Linked DNA regions of Lepisosteus oculatus. The protein of the gene in region 1 purifies or fractionates together with the protein of each later gene. This does not show direct contact. Links are inferred from orthologs where the notes say so. Each region holds a gene or a part of one and is shown in the gene's direction. Other genes may lie near its edges. The genes, in order: serine/threonine-protein kinase 38 and MOB kinase activator 2.

Region 1 (7,642 bases):
CATGACAGGCAACATCACAGTTCCCGAGCGACGGAAACCGGCTATAACACGTTTAACAAACCGAAACCGAAAAGACGCCCTTTACAGGAACAACATTATTAATTTCACCTTCGCTTGTCGTGTTTGAGTTCAGCACAGCAAAAAAAAAATGTCACGGACCGAGCCAAAAAAACTCTTTGAAGACGAACTGAGGTGCCCGCTGTGCTTGGATTTCTTCTCCGAACCGCAGTTGCTCCCCTGTGGACACAACCTTTGCGATTCCTGTGTTCAGAAACTTATCCAGCAGGACTCGGGGGTACCGCGGCACAGGTGCCCGGAATGCCGGAGAGAATTCGACGGGAGATCTGCGCTAAAACTAAACTTCAAGCTCTGCAACCTTATAGAAAGTTTTAAGTCCAGTTACTCGGAGCCTCAAGTGCTTTGTGATACGTGTCTGGGGAACGCAGACCCGGCTGTGAGGACTTGTCTGAAGTGCGAAATCTCGATGTGCGCCCTTCACTTAAAACCGCATTTGGAGCGGTCAGCTTTTAAGAGTCATGTTCTGGTGGAGCCCACGGCGGACCTCAGTGCTCGTAAGTGCCCGCTGCACGAAGAAACGCTGAAATACTATTGTTTTGAAGATAAGACTTGTATGTGTGTGTCGTGCACCGTGGAAGGGGAGCACAGGAATCATAATGTGAAGAGTTTAAAGAAAACCCGTGATGAGCTGAAGGTTGACCTGAAAATAAAAATAAACGACATCACGGAAACCCTGAAACTAGCCGAGGAGCTGTTTGAAAAGGGGAAAGCTTACGCAACTTCAGTCAAGGGTTCAAATGCGCACATGAAACTAAGCGCGACGGATGTTTTTGACCACATAATTGAGCTTGCTAATACGTATAAAGAACGTATCGTGGAAATAATTGAGAAAGAGCATCACGTTCTTGAAATGAGCGCGCAGGAACACGTCGTCGCTCTCAGTGAGAAGCGCGAAGAGCTTCAGAAGATTAAGCGTCAGGCGGAATCCGTCTTGGCCGAGAAGGATGAGTTCTTGTTCATTCAACAGCACCTGGACACCCAGAACAGAGTGACACAGGCCCTTGAGGAATCTCTAAGAGGCCTTGAAGAAAAACCACTGAACAGAAAATTAATCCTGGAGGTCCTGGGTGCAATGTTCAGCCAGTTTCAAGCTGAGGTTGGAAAGGGGCACCAGGCTTTAAGGAATGAGGTTCATCCTGCACAACTCAGTCTGGACCCAGACACTGCTCATCCTCACCTCATCCTCTCTGAGGATCTCAAGACCGTGCGGTACACTAAAGAGAAACAGCCGTACCCAGGGCTCCCTGAGAGGTTTGATCGCTGGCACCAAGTCCTGTCTCACCAGGGCTTCTCGTCTGGAGAGCATTACTGGGAGGTGGATGTTGGAAACGGTGCCTGGTCTCTGGGGATCTCTTACCAGAACATAGGAAGGAAGGGAGACGGAAAAGATATATGTTTGGGAGTGAATGCAGTCTCTTGGGCTCTCAGATGGTGGAATTCTAAACTTTCTGTTTGGCATAATAAGATTTCGACTTTCCTTCCGTCTACATCTCAACCCGCAAAGATTGGGGTTCATGTAGATATTAGTGCAGGGACTCTTTCTTTTCACAGTGTAGCTGATCAGTTGGTCCATATTTATACATTTAAAACTAAATTCACACAACCAGTGTACCCTGCATTTTGGGTTCTGTCTGACGAACCATTGTTCTGGTTAACTGTGAGAAGTGTGTCATCATGTAACTTGCCGAAAGTGGAAGCTGTTCAGTAACACTTTCTAGAGCAGTGCTTTCCAGTCCTGATCCTGGGGGACCTCTGTGTCTTCGGCTTTCTGCGCCACTCAAGTTCTGAATCACCAGCAAATTAGTTTAAGTCTTCAGTTTGAGATCTATTTTTTAAATTTCTGAATTTAAAGACTACCCTATTTCAGGCGTGCCTCCTGATATTTGACCAACTGGACCACAACATGGGAAAAAACTCTGTGTTTTTCCAAAATCAACAGACTGTTTCCAATTGCTACTATGCATGCTTTCTGGAATAAGATATGCACATAACAAAATGTGAGGTTTTCCATCCTAATGCATAAGATAGATGCTTTCCTGATTTAAAACAAGATTTTCTGCATTACAGAAATAGCAGCTTGTGATACATATTCCTAAATGCCTTTTTATCTTAAATTGATCACCTCTTAGGAGCCATCTAACAGATCTCAGGGTAATTAAGCATGTTGAGAAGATGCCTAAAGTATACATTTTTATTAGGTTATATGTCAGAACAAGCAAGGAGACCAATAAAAGGGAAACCAAAGAAGGAAATCAAGATATAACTGTACGTCTGCTTGCGTGCTTTATGTGGGTGGGAGAATTGACTTTTCAGACTCTCCGATAAACAGGGACCTCACAGATCATGTGTGCCTGCTGTCAGCTCCTTATTTTATCCACAAATATAATGTTTGTGTCAGCACTCTCCTGATTCCTGATTATGTCAAGACAAAGGAAGAGTAAGAATAATACCTCGACATAGAGCAGCTCTGTTCATTTCTCATGATCCTCTCTCCCCATCTGTGTGTCTGTGTGTCTCACGGAGAGAAAGCTGGGATATGCGGAAAGACAAATTCCTGATGCAAGCAATTGTATAGGGCTAACAAAGTGATCTGATCTGATCTAAAAGGGGGCTGACACTGATATGACTTTTTTTTTCAGTCTTTCGAGTTGGTAACCAAGGACTTAACAATACTGTGCTTTAATGTTTTACATGACACCATGATGTATTATGTACAATAATATGGTCTATAGACTATTGCTCAAATGACAAAATAAAAGAGAAAATAAACAATCATGAGCTGTTCTTGGTTTTGATTACTACGTCATTGTGAGACCATATGAAGTGGCAGGTCTGGACTAGAAATTGACAGCAAATACTAAGAGGAGATGGGGGTGACGTTACTGTCAGACAGGGCTTCCTAAATCTAGTCTTGGGGGTCCCCCAAGCTGGTGTTTAGGACAGCTGGACTCTCACATACATAATTCAGCCCTTGATTGACCTATTAATGGGATTCATTTCAGCTCTTTGTTTTTAGCTCTTAAATGGTTTAAGGGTTGCCAGATCCTCATTACTGTGGTTCGTGAGTAACACAGAAGTTGGAAGCTTTTTACTGGGGAAAAAAAGATTGCAAAAATTAATATCAAGGAACCGGTTAAGTCTGTTTAATAAAGTTACAACTTCGGAGGCAATGGAAGCCAGTGGGTGTGTGGACTTTCAGGACCTGGAGTGGGAGTTCAGTAAGTGAATGCTGGAACTTATCATTCAGGCGCTAATCGCGAAGCCTTCATGAAGAAAAAATCCGGATTTCTAGTTCTGCTCCAGGAGAGACCCAGTCCGGCAAGGCCTACAGTTTAGAACGTGCAGAAATTCGTCTGTGGTGCTAAACAAGGAAGTCTCAATTTTATTCGTCTTTATAACTTTAACTTTAACTTCTTCCGCCGCAAGAGGTCACTGTAAGGACACGCAATGCAATGTTGTTATAACAGAACTCGGAATGTTGAAGAGGCTGGTTTTTGGCCTTTTCATAATTTTGATAAACGCATAAAGCGCATAGAGACTTTACGTGACCTCATAATCCCTAGACACTTAGAGATACAACAGGATGACAATAATAGAAACCTCTCTGTAAAGAAATCACATTAAATGCTTTACTGCATGTACTGTAAATGCTTTGCAGTCTAGTCTAAACACTTTCTCGGAATGTTTTTGTGAGTGTCTTCCTGCGTTGCAATTTTCTTTGTAAAACGTCAACTTTCAGGTTTGGTAAATAACTTCCTGAAATGCTCGCTATTATTAGCTGCAACATTGCTGTGTGTGCTAGACTGTCCCCTAGCAAGGACTGCGTTACATGTGCGCGGATGATTGTGACTGCATACGAAATTAGGTGCGAATTTCATCAATACAGCAGTGAAAATTGCGTTTGAATGAAATCTGATAACTTTAAAAATCATATTACTGCTTCTTTGAAATAATTTAATTGTATATAACATGCTTCACAGATACCTTAAAACCTTTAGTTTTTAAAACCTTTTGAAAGCAGGGATCTCAAATTGGGCTTCAAAACCAGTCCAGTGATTTCTCAGCTTTTTACCAAACGTGTAATATTTATATTAATTGATACAAGTTTAAAGTGTTTAGTTTAACCGCTAAATGTACTACGTTGTGATGTGACGCCTGCCTGAATCTCTCCTATTTTCCCGTGCCTTCGACTAAACGCTATCGAGGCGTTTGGAGTCCGTAGAGAACGTCCGTAACTTGTCACCCCCAATTTACCTGTGTGTAAAACCATTCATAGTCGAGCTCATCTGATTTGCGCATACGGTGCATCTCTGAACTCGCAGATCCGTCATCAGTTTCATTATTAACCGTACCGTTTTTCGTATAAATTAAAAAAAAACAGAATTGGATATTCATTTTTAACTGGTGGTGGGATGTCTCATTCATTTACAAAGGGAGCCGTCCTGTTTTGAAAAGTCCTGTCGGTCCCCAGTGTGTACACAGCATTGCTTAATAAAAAAGGCATTTAAAGAAAGAGCCCAGCCAGGACGCCTAGCGCTCTCTGCACGTCATCACGTCGAGTAGCGACACAGGGGGAAGCGGACAGAGGCGAGCCGTGAGCCTGGGGCCGAGCAGGCGGAGGTGAGTGCACTTAATACCGTAAAAACTGACTCCCGAAGGGGCAAATACCCCGGTTTACACACACACAGATGTTATCTAAGGCAGTTCGGCTTCGGTCTGACCTAAAACGGCGATCTTGTTCTTTCTGCAAGGGCCGTTTTGAGAACTTTTTCTCAAGTAACCGTTAGCCAAGTGAAGTCTGGTGTTCTCTTTTTTTTCCTCCCAGTTTGTCTGTGGTAGAGAGAGTTGCTCTACCTGGGTAGCGTTAAAAAATGAAAACTGAAACTGCTGCTTATTCCTGTGCTTGGGAAAGGCGCGTAGGGCTGCTGAGCTATTTGATTAAATTAACGCTTTTTAAAATGGATACAATTGCCGTTTTAGGAAGGTGTAGTTACAGATCGGTGTGGCGAGAGAACAAAGCGCCTGTCTTGGCTGTTAGTAGGTGACTATACTGCAGGACGGTGAGCTACTGTAAGTGTAACGTATACTTACAAATGTGAAAGTGAAGGAAGTTGTTAATCTTGTTAAAATAAGCTTCTTAAAACGTCCACTTTCTTCATGCGTTTAAGTATTGCACCTTTCCAGTTATAGCTTTTTATCCTCCTTTGACACGGATGGAAATATTGACCCTGTCGTTGTTTATGTGGGTTCGTGCAACTTTTTTTAGCCTCTAACTTGACAATTTAGACCAGGCGCCTGCCTTAAATACGCCGCTGTTGTGTTGGTGTTACTTGGGTGTAGGTGACGCCTTTGTTCAAGAAGGGTTTAAACTCGAGACAGTATCGAACTGTAAATGAATTCGTAAATTTACAGACCAACCTATAGTGTAAAGCCTCAGAAGGTAAAACTAAGTACAGTGTATAAATGCTACTGCAGTAGGTCGATGAATCCTATTGTCTCTGCGGGAGGTCCTTGAAAGAGGTCTATGTGATATTTTCCTTTTCTCCGTGTTCTTTAACTGTAAGGCTTGAATGGGCTTGAATAAGTTTAAAGATAATAAGTTGCAACAAAAGGGGGATTGTGTTGCAGTAGCGTCAACCGTAGCCTCGGTTTTATAACTTAGCCTAAAAATGCGTCTGAGCGATGCATGCTTCTGACACCAACCACACCCAGCATTTTAAAGAGCATAATTTTCTTTTCTCTTTTTTGTTTCTCAGAGCTGTGGTAATTTAATAAATGAGTTCGCAGAGAGGCTCGTTTTAGCTTGTTTAAAGTGGGGGCTGTTAGGTCTTTGCAGTAACGTTGTCCTGCGCACACGTTTCTCTGATACTGTATGCATACGTGACTGTACATGTACTGTATGTATATAATTTGTACGTAGGACGTCTGTCTAATTCACAGACGAGAAGACAGGCTGTGAAGGGTTTAGAGGAATAGTACTCACGCCTAGTGTTTTAGTTCTTTTGTGCAGGAATGGGTTAAATGGATTCAGTGCGTTCAGAGGAGGAGGCGCTATCAATTAAATATACTTAAAGTAGGTTTTAAACTTGGTAATTGAAGGAAAAGGAGAGAGCAATTACTCAAGTTGTCCGTTATGTAATGACGTTATATTTATCATAAACTGCACGAATTTAGATAGCGCGTGTTAGCTGGAGGGTTATTTCAAATATTAGAATAAAGAGCAGGAAAGGTTGGCGGTTAGTATTTATTGAACATTCATATGGCTTTTTTATCCTCCGGTTAGCGCGGTAACGGTACATCTGTGTCCCAATACTGCTCATCACGCCGTGAACTGGCGGGACAGGTTTTGGTCTGTACTGTGCGTCCTGATCTAATAGTTTCACTTGCATATTTACGTTTATGCAAGTCGATATTCTCGAATCTTTGTTATTTGATGCAACTACGATGAAGCGAACATGCTCTGGAAGCAGACTGCATCTAGCGGGTTTTGTCTGGACCGTGTGAAAGTGTTCATTTGTCGTGACACTTAACGTTGCGAAACATAACCGCGGCTCCTTCAGAACTTGTTTCCCACGTTTGCATTAAATATCTCATCTTCCTCTGGTTCAGTACTACACATACACATGCTTAAAATAACTTTAAAGGGCGCCGTTGTCTCACTTAACTGTATTTTTAGACTTGTTTAAAGACGGTACAGTCACCACTCCATTTCTGATAGGTTACTGGAGGAGTTAATTTTTGTTTAGTTTATTTATAGTTTCATTGTTTTGTGTCACCCATGATATTGAAACTTATTTGTCCAGCAATATAAACTTTTTTTTTCTCTCCGCATTAATGCATGTCAGGTATATTCACGAAATTAAAAGAAAAACTTTATCAGAGCACATATTAATTTCTGCACCAGCTGCCCCACCTGGGCGACACACAGCGGCCATTCTGTACCAACAGCCCCAGTGCACAGCAGATCAGGGGGAGGAGTGAGAAAATACTTTTAAATTACGGGGGCTAATGTACAGTCTGGCCTCACTACAAACCAAAAAACTGTGGCGACGCCCCTGTTCTCCCGAGCAGTGCCTGTGATCTTCAGTGACACAGGAGTCAATTCCTTGGTGTCGTGTCACAAGGTGGTTTTTTAGCGGATCCCCTCCTGCTTCCTTTTCCAATCTGATTAGTGCAGGATGAGTGAGCTTGGACTTTCCAAGAGTTTTTTTTTTTAATCCCTGTTCTAAATTTGGGGATAATGGTCCAAGCCATTACTGACCACAAATCATGAGTGAGTTCAAACCAAAGGCCTGTGCCAGAAGCAGTGCACTTTCTTCTGATCCAGCCACAACCTTCCCAGCTCCAGGCGCAGCATGTATTTACCTGCGAAGTGGAGCAAAATGTACTTGCCTTTGAGATTTCTACTGTCCGCCAAATTCGACTGGAAGATAAGTGGCCGGTATGTGATTCTTGTTTTTTCGTGGAGTAGTTTTTCCACAAGCCATAAAATGCAAAAATGTTTTTTTAATGTAATTATGAGCGGGTTGTGTAAATGTGTTGTGTAAATTTTTTAAAACTCTTT
Region 2 (7,417 bases), on another chromosome or scaffold:
AGAACCGTGTCTTACAGACAGTATCAGTTCAGTGTTGTACGCTGTTGTCGTCTCTTTAGGTTTAGAGAGTACAGATGCCCCCATTTGAGCTCAGATATGGCCACAGCCTGATTGTGATGTAGTTTCCAGCCAGAGCATAGTAAGCCTTAGTGCTTTAACACATGGAAAAAATCATTCCTTACAATAAGAAAGATATGGGAGGTGGGGACTAAAAGAAACGTGCCCTTGCATTGAGGTTTGCATTGGCATTCGTCTGCATTATTTCTAAACTACTTATCTGCTTTGATGATGAGGGTGGGTTAGGTTAGAGATTTCCAGAAATCCAATTCAGAAGAATGAAGAGGTCCATAACCATCACGAGCAGTAGAAACACTTCTTTGATCCATTTCACATCCATGGCAAGTGTAAGAAGCCGGTCACACACAGCTCCACAGCCTAGGCCTTGCACTGTAGAGTACTGTATAAGCTGGGTTATACACTTGCAGCTGCCTGCGTTGTGCTTGCTTCCATCAAATATAGAAGCTTCACCTTTCCTGGGGCATCAGGGTGTGATTTCTCATGAAGGAAAAAGAGGCAGCATTTTTTAACAGGAAAATGTCAGTTGCGGTGAAGTTCATAGGTGACACAAACGCACATCTGACTGCCGACGCTGGAAAGCAGCTGGGCTTGGTGCACAGGAGGGCAGTGGCTCCTCTTCCTTCAGCACTGCTGTCGGCGGACTGAGTCACTTCTCCGCCAGCGATGAGCATCTCTCCCGAGTCGTGCTCTACCTGCTGGCTCATGGCTCTTCAGCGTCAACCTGTTGAGCCAGACCCGGCGTTGTCTGTGGAAAACAAAGACTAGGCTGTGCTTGTCGAGACGTGTTCTCAGCAGATCAAATACCGTAAATTCTGGAATATTAAAGTCGGTCACATTTCTTAATTGCGATTAGAAAAACTTTCTGTTCAGAGCTGCTGTGACTCCACGGTCTCATCGTTGATTACTCACCAGGCTCCTATGTTGTGAGTAATTCAGTGTTCCTTTCTAAATCCTGCTTTGTTTCCTGTTATGTTCCTGCCCACGTAAATGATTTAATTGGATATAAAGCAGTTCATGGGTTTGAATTATTGTAATGCTGGAACGTTGCAGTAAATATCTTTAATGATTCGAGTGGTCACAAGCCATCTGCTTTTCTGTGAAAGGTTTTCATTTCTAAGAAGAGCTTCCTGGCAAGTTTGCCATTTTTTAATTGGGAGTCTTTAGCTTGAAACCCAGTTGCTTCAAGTAAACTCCCATTTCTCGGAGCTCTTTAGGACAAGTTAAGATTCCTATCTGACAGGCTGCCTGTAGATATTCGCAGCCTGGTTTTAAAATTCTTGATTTCTTGCCCTAAACTTACAACATACTTCTTCTGCTCTTAAAAATACAGTAAACGTGTTGTTGGGCGCACAGCAGCTACCCAGGCATCACAGTTTATTCTGTGATTGGAAATTGTGCCTTTCTTAACGTCCACAGTGTGACTGTTCACACAAGAGCTTGCGTGGCACAAGCACTTGAACTGTAAGAGCGAACAAAGCTGCTGCATTTCTTTTACATTCCAGACTGCTTCTCCACTTGAGACTGAAGGCCCTCTGTGTTTGAGCAGTAGAGCCCTGCGTTGTCCTGTTGTAAGTACAGTCCTGGCCAGGCACGGCAACTCCCTTCGCAAGCAACGAGAAGGTGGTACATGGGGAAAAAAAATCAGAAGTCTAACTGCGAAGAGTCTGTTTTGTATATGTTGAGTTATTTATTGATCCTTTGCGTGATGATTGTTGGTACGATTTTGCATTTCTCAGCTTCCTCTTGGCATGTAAAATAATTTCCCTTTACAATAAAAAAAAACCTGAAGGGAGGAGAGTCTTCTGATGCATTTCAGACATCATTGAAATGCACCAGCACGGGGAAGTCAGTCTTTTCAGCTCAAGCTCAGGAGGAGCGGGAGGGGGAACTGGGCTCGTGTGACCTCTCCAGCTGTGTCCAAAGGCAAGATCGCTGAGGGCAGAGGGAGAGGAAGACTGCACAGGGCAGCCCTTCGAGGCATTTCCTCTCCGTATCTGTCTCCTCAGTCAGCACAAACTGCTTCACAGAGGTTTCTGGGACCTGTCTGTGACTGAGGACTGTTTTAGGGGTGTACTGCAGATTTTCTTGGCTGATGCTGTTACATACCTTTAGTGATTACCTATGCAGGTGATAATACCAATATTTACTGATGTGTTCTACTTTACTGAAACTTATTAAACCTCTAGGTGATTTTTTTGTGCATAGGGAGTTTTTAAATCAGTTGGATTGCATTCCTGCTTCTAAAGATGGCAAAACAAAACGTAGTAACTTTTAAATTCTAATCTAGATTGCAGTAGAACCTGTGCATGTTAATTTTACAAGCATCACAGAAAAGTCAGAAAAACTATTTTGGTCCACTTGAATACTAAAAACCGTTTAAACTTTTTAATTAGTGAAGTGTTATAAAATTTTATTACATTTTTAATTTGAGAAAATTAAAACTTTCATGGCCTAACTTGATGGCATTTTGAACCTATAGTACACTGAACCAGCTCTAAACTTTCAACTTTCAGGCACCTTAACAGATTTTTTTAGATTTCTGAGACATACCTCCAGTGTCTTAAGTTAAACCGTCCGAATTTGAAAATCCATTAAATCTCTGAATTCATCTTTCAGATCCCTGACTTGCGCTTCGTGTCGAGCGGAAGCACGCGAAGTGCGTTATACAACCAAATGCAATTTGTGTTCAAACATAAAGCAGACCAGAGTCGGGTTTTCTGAAGTACGGCGATTCTGGGGCTTAAACTCATAAATGTATTTGTACTTATCGGTGAGTTTAAATCCAGGTTTCAAGTGTCCCTTCCCTGTTCATGAAATGTTTTGTCATGACTGTTACATTTTTTTATTTGGAAACACATCGGATTACAGATAGCTGATCAAAATATCCAGCCTTCCTCGCGGCGGATAAACTGCCGCGTCTCCAACTTCCTTGATGATGGGAAAACAATATTTTCTCGTCTGAGCTCAAATTAATTGGAATCTAACCAACACCTCGCACACCTGTTTTCTGTAGAGCTGGTAGTGAGCGGTGCAGGATTTATTGCCTTTTTTTTTATTCAACAGCATTTCCCTGAAATGGAAAAACTTCCGTCAACATATCTGCGCCTGCGGGTCCCGTGTTGTGGAATTTCCACGGAACAATCCAGTTCTGGCTTGATAACCTATCATGCATAACATCAGGCAGCTTCTTATGACAATAAAGCAAGATATTTTGCACACGGAGTTTGTTTATAAGAGCATATTGTGCAGATAGATACCTGTTGATCATGATCTTGTTTCTTATTGAAATTGGCTCCCTGACACAGTAGGAAAATAACATTTTCTAGGTTTGAATTGCCCAACCTTTTGAATTGAGAATGAACCTATAATTCGTTTTCAAAGATTGGGGACCATGCCCACAGCCCGATTCTCGTGTGGTGCTTGTTGGCGGATCCGGGCTTTAAAAACGCAGCAAGTCGCATGTGAAAGCGACCGGTGTCCCACCGCAGAAAATAAAGCCGTCGGAGGAGTCAAAGTAGTAATCCGTGATGAATTACTGCGATTAATTATTTTAGCATCTTTACCTTAACGTACATATTCCATATGAGACAGAATTCCAGGGATTTAAAATGCTGTTTTTATTGCAGCTCATTTCATTAATGTAATTTTTGTTTCCAACCTGTCAAAAGTTGTTATTTTTTTTCCCCCTACTTGTTGAGCAATATTTTTAAGGAACTGAACAGCGTTGTTAGCTCCAGACAAACACTATTCTGTTTCAATTCCAGCCAGTCGGTAAATGTCGCGTCTCAGGGGGTGAAATGTCAGTGCGGTGCACTTACCCTTCCTAATGACCCGACTGAGGTGTAGGGCGAGAAAATGTCACGTTTGTAGCTTGATCGCCCAGAACAGGAAGACTATAGCGGGTGTTTGTGGGCGTCGTGTGGCATGCAGTGACAATGCAATGACAGTTACTGTAAGTGAATGGATTATATTCCCTGTGGCAGTTATTTTACAGAGACAAAGCCTTCAGGACTGGACCCGGGACAGGTTTCACAGCGAGCAGGAAGCTTTTCCTTCTCGCCCCCCCGGTCCCTCAGAGCTCCGCCCGCCCTCTCTGGTGATAGGCGGTCTGACCCGAGGAGGCCGGCCCAGACGGAACCGCAGAAATGAATCTGGCTCTCGTACTTAGCAAAGAAAGGGCAATTTGGTGTTCAAGCCAGTCGGAGAGGCCGAGCGGCTGGGGAGGTATCCTTTTCTGCGCGGTTTGCGTTACCATGGTCGGTGATCACTGTACTCATTCGGGAGACAGTACGGCAAAGCACTCGCAGAGGACTCCCAAAGGCGGATTAAGTTGCAAAATGGTACTTCAGGCGGTTGGCAAGGTTTTGAGGTAAAGACCGAACTGTTGTTGTGATGAACGGGTATTGTTTTCTGTTGTGTGTTGAGCAGTTGTGAAGCTGTTGTTGTAGCCAGCGGCGGCGTGTGGATCAAAGTCCCTGTTCCTGATGGGGGGTATGAAACCGAGGACAACGCGATCCTTTCCCGATCTTGTTTGGGATGTTAACTTGACCCTTTCCCTCTCTCTTTTTTTTGTGTGCCTTCGGTGGAGTAAGTTGTTAAAATGACGTTTTTCGATTCCCGTGCGACTTGTTGAGATGATCCCTGCATAAAAACTTTGAGCTGCCAGGCGCTTATTTTAAAACAGCTGGGCTCGGATGTCTTGGCAGTCAAAGCTCTTTGGGTTGCTGTTGGTTTTTTTCTGCCCGTGCTATTTTATATGGAAATAGTAGTATGCGCGGATATTTTTCCATGTTTGGGTTTCGATGGCTCTTTAAGCAACACCTCCTTATTTGAAATGTTTCGTCGCGATTGTCACTTTAAAAAAAAAAAATCCACAACACTCCCGGATTCGTTGTCCTATCGTTGACTGTCGTGAGAAACTCGGTGTGGACACGGAAAGGAAATACCCTCACGCGTTCACAACAGCGCAGATAGCCGCGCCGGGGCCGCTTTGCGGGAGTTTTTATCGCCCGAAGCCTCTGGCTTCAGGTGGGGCACTTCGTACTGGAAAAGTGCGCTTACCTCTGAGAACCCACGCCTTGCTCCAGACAGACCTGCATAGTTTCATCTGAAAGGACGGATGCTTGTTGGAAACTAAAGTCGACAGACGTACTGAAGCTTTAAAAACCCAGCGAGCAGCTGGAGTAGCCTTCATTTTTTTCCCAATTTAAAATGTGTTTGTGTTATCCTTCTTCTTATTCTAAGATAGGTCAGTGGTCCTCTGCAAACCAATGTAATTTGAGCTTATTGGTCTTACACCTCTTTAGGCATTATTTGTTTTTATAGTGTTAAGACACTCTTGTGTCTTTTTCGTCTTACAGATGTAATTGTTACAGTTGTTAACAGAGTTGTGAAGCCAGCCGGTTGTACAATTCGGATACTAAGGAACAAGCAGAGGTTTATTCCCTGCTGAAAAGAGAAGAAAAGCCTTCTTCAGGTGTCCCTTCTTCAGGATACTGTCTCTGCAATGTGCAGTTGTCTGTTCTGTCCCCATTAAGGTTAGGAGAGCTGTATTCGTATTCATATTTAAGTTTCAGCTGCTATAATGTTCTTTGTAGTTTCTGGTGTGGGAACCTAAAATGTGCTAGAATATTTCGATTTCTTGTGAAAGTTTGGTACTTGCTGTGAAGGGAGCCCTGTGGTATGCGTGCTGCTGGTTCCTTGAATTACGTGCCCGGGGTTTTAAGGATTTAAGGCTGGGATCCCCCGAACACATCCAGAACATGCTCTAACCATCTCATATTAACACTAATCTGTTTGCTCCACCTAGGGATTGCTTTTCTATGTTTTTAAATCCCTGAAAAACACAGATTTTCCACAGGAGGAGTTGAGTTCTTTTAGTCAGAATAGAGTGCTGATTTTCTTTTTAGACCTGCTGCCAAGTTAGCATTTACAGACAGATGCGTTGGTCTCCTTGACTTGCCCTTTTACTTAAGTCAGGTTGGTTGCCTTTCAGCAATTATGGCTTGGGAGTGTAGGCTCCGCAGCAGTGCGTCTCCTCAGGCCCCTTATCTGGAAGCCGTTCCAGTCGGTCTTGTGTGAGCGTGTCTGCTCGAGCGGTGGGTTCTGGGCAGTGCTTGGTGAGGAGCAGGTCAAGGCTCCGGTTTGCACCACTGCTGAAGAAATGCAAGTCTTGCAACTTGGAGTTGGAATGATCGCTTTATGGTGGAATCTGAGCGTTGTAGGAAAGAGGAAACCTTGCTTTATATGAGCGAATGGGAACCATCTCATGCTTCCCACATTCAAGTCAACCTGCTGCACTGCAAGACCGGAGACACTTTGATTAGTGGAAAGCTCAGTGATGCCCTCAGCCTGCTGTGTGTCACCATGCGCAGGTTCCCGCATGGGAGCTGTGAAGCCAGGTTCTTCTGCACGTGAATGCGGCCGCTGTCGATGCGCTGTCCACCCCCTGCTTTCCCCTTGCCTGAAAGACCTGCTAAGTGGCAAGTCGCTCGTTACCATCATAAAGGCTCAATGGGGATATACAGGAAGGAGTTGGAGTGCTGGTGAGAGGAGTCAAGGAGATCAAAACGTGGCAAACAGGGCTGAGAACAGCTGGAGCGCGCTGTGTGGAGTGGGCCTGGCTTTGTGGATGCTGCCCCAGGCCTCTCTCGCTAGCCCGGAAGGTATTCAGATGTTGATCATGCCCCGGTCTTTACCCCAGGAGTGCTTAACAATGTGTGCTTCCGGGTACAGTTTACCAGGAGAGGGAATATGGCACCTACCCGCTAGATTCTGGAGTTGTGCTTGAGCCAGAACAGCATGTGGCTGCTTGTCTGTTTCTCTGGATTGATCTTCCTCCGAGTCCAGTGCAGATGAATTATTCCTGAAGGTGGGTAATGGGAATGCTCCGCAGCCCTAATACAAGCAGGCTGTGGGCAGCCACCTCCTACTGATCTTACAGCTGGGAGGCGTAAGCAGACTGGATCACTCCGGTGTGTCCGTGTCGAGGTTCCCAGCTGAGACCTCAAGCAGACATGTGTGCCTTCTCAGGTGTAGCAACCAGAAGCCTAGAATCCTCATTATATAACCACTCGCCTAAACCAGTGAGGAGTATACTGGATGAGGCAGAATTCAGTTCTGACAAGCTTGTTGGTTTGTTGGTGAGGAATGTGTTGTGAATCCTGTAAGAGTGTGTTAATAACTAAATGCTGTGCATAGTGGGGCTAAGGAGAGCCCTGGCCTCCATGCTGTTTCTCTGACCAGAGGTTATTTCAGAAAATGCATGACGGGGAGCCTGTTGTATAATGAGAGAGAATGAGAGTCTTCCGTCCCATTCACTTCCCTACGAGAACCTTTG

What was found.
Region 2: the proteins of serine/threonine-protein kinase 38 (region 1) and MOB kinase activator 2 purify together in Homo sapiens (affinity purification with mass spectrometry; 7 studies listed by BioGRID and IntAct, with this or other methods). This does not show direct contact. The link is inferred for Lepisosteus oculatus from reciprocal best matches to the Homo sapiens genes STK38 and MOB2.

The regions. Positions count from the first base shown.
Region 1 is NC_090700.1:36,873,070-36,880,711, forward strand, and holds the start of serine/threonine-protein kinase 38, read left to right. Parts: upstream 1-4,590; 5' UTR 4,591-4,698; intron 4,699-7,642. Other genes in the region: tripartite motif-containing protein 16-like, read left to right, coding at 149-1,786. UniProt on the Homo sapiens protein: Serine/threonine-protein kinase that acts as a negative regulator of MAP3K1/2 signaling. Converts MAP3K2 from its phosphorylated form to its non-phosphorylated form and inhibits autophosphorylation of MAP3K2.
Region 2 is NC_090716.1:13,589,492-13,596,908, forward strand, and holds the start of MOB kinase activator 2, read left to right. Parts: upstream 1-4,232; 5' UTR 4,233-4,331; coding exon 4,332-4,447; intron 4,448-7,417. UniProt on the Homo sapiens protein: Stimulates the autophosphorylation and kinase activity of STK38 and STK38L.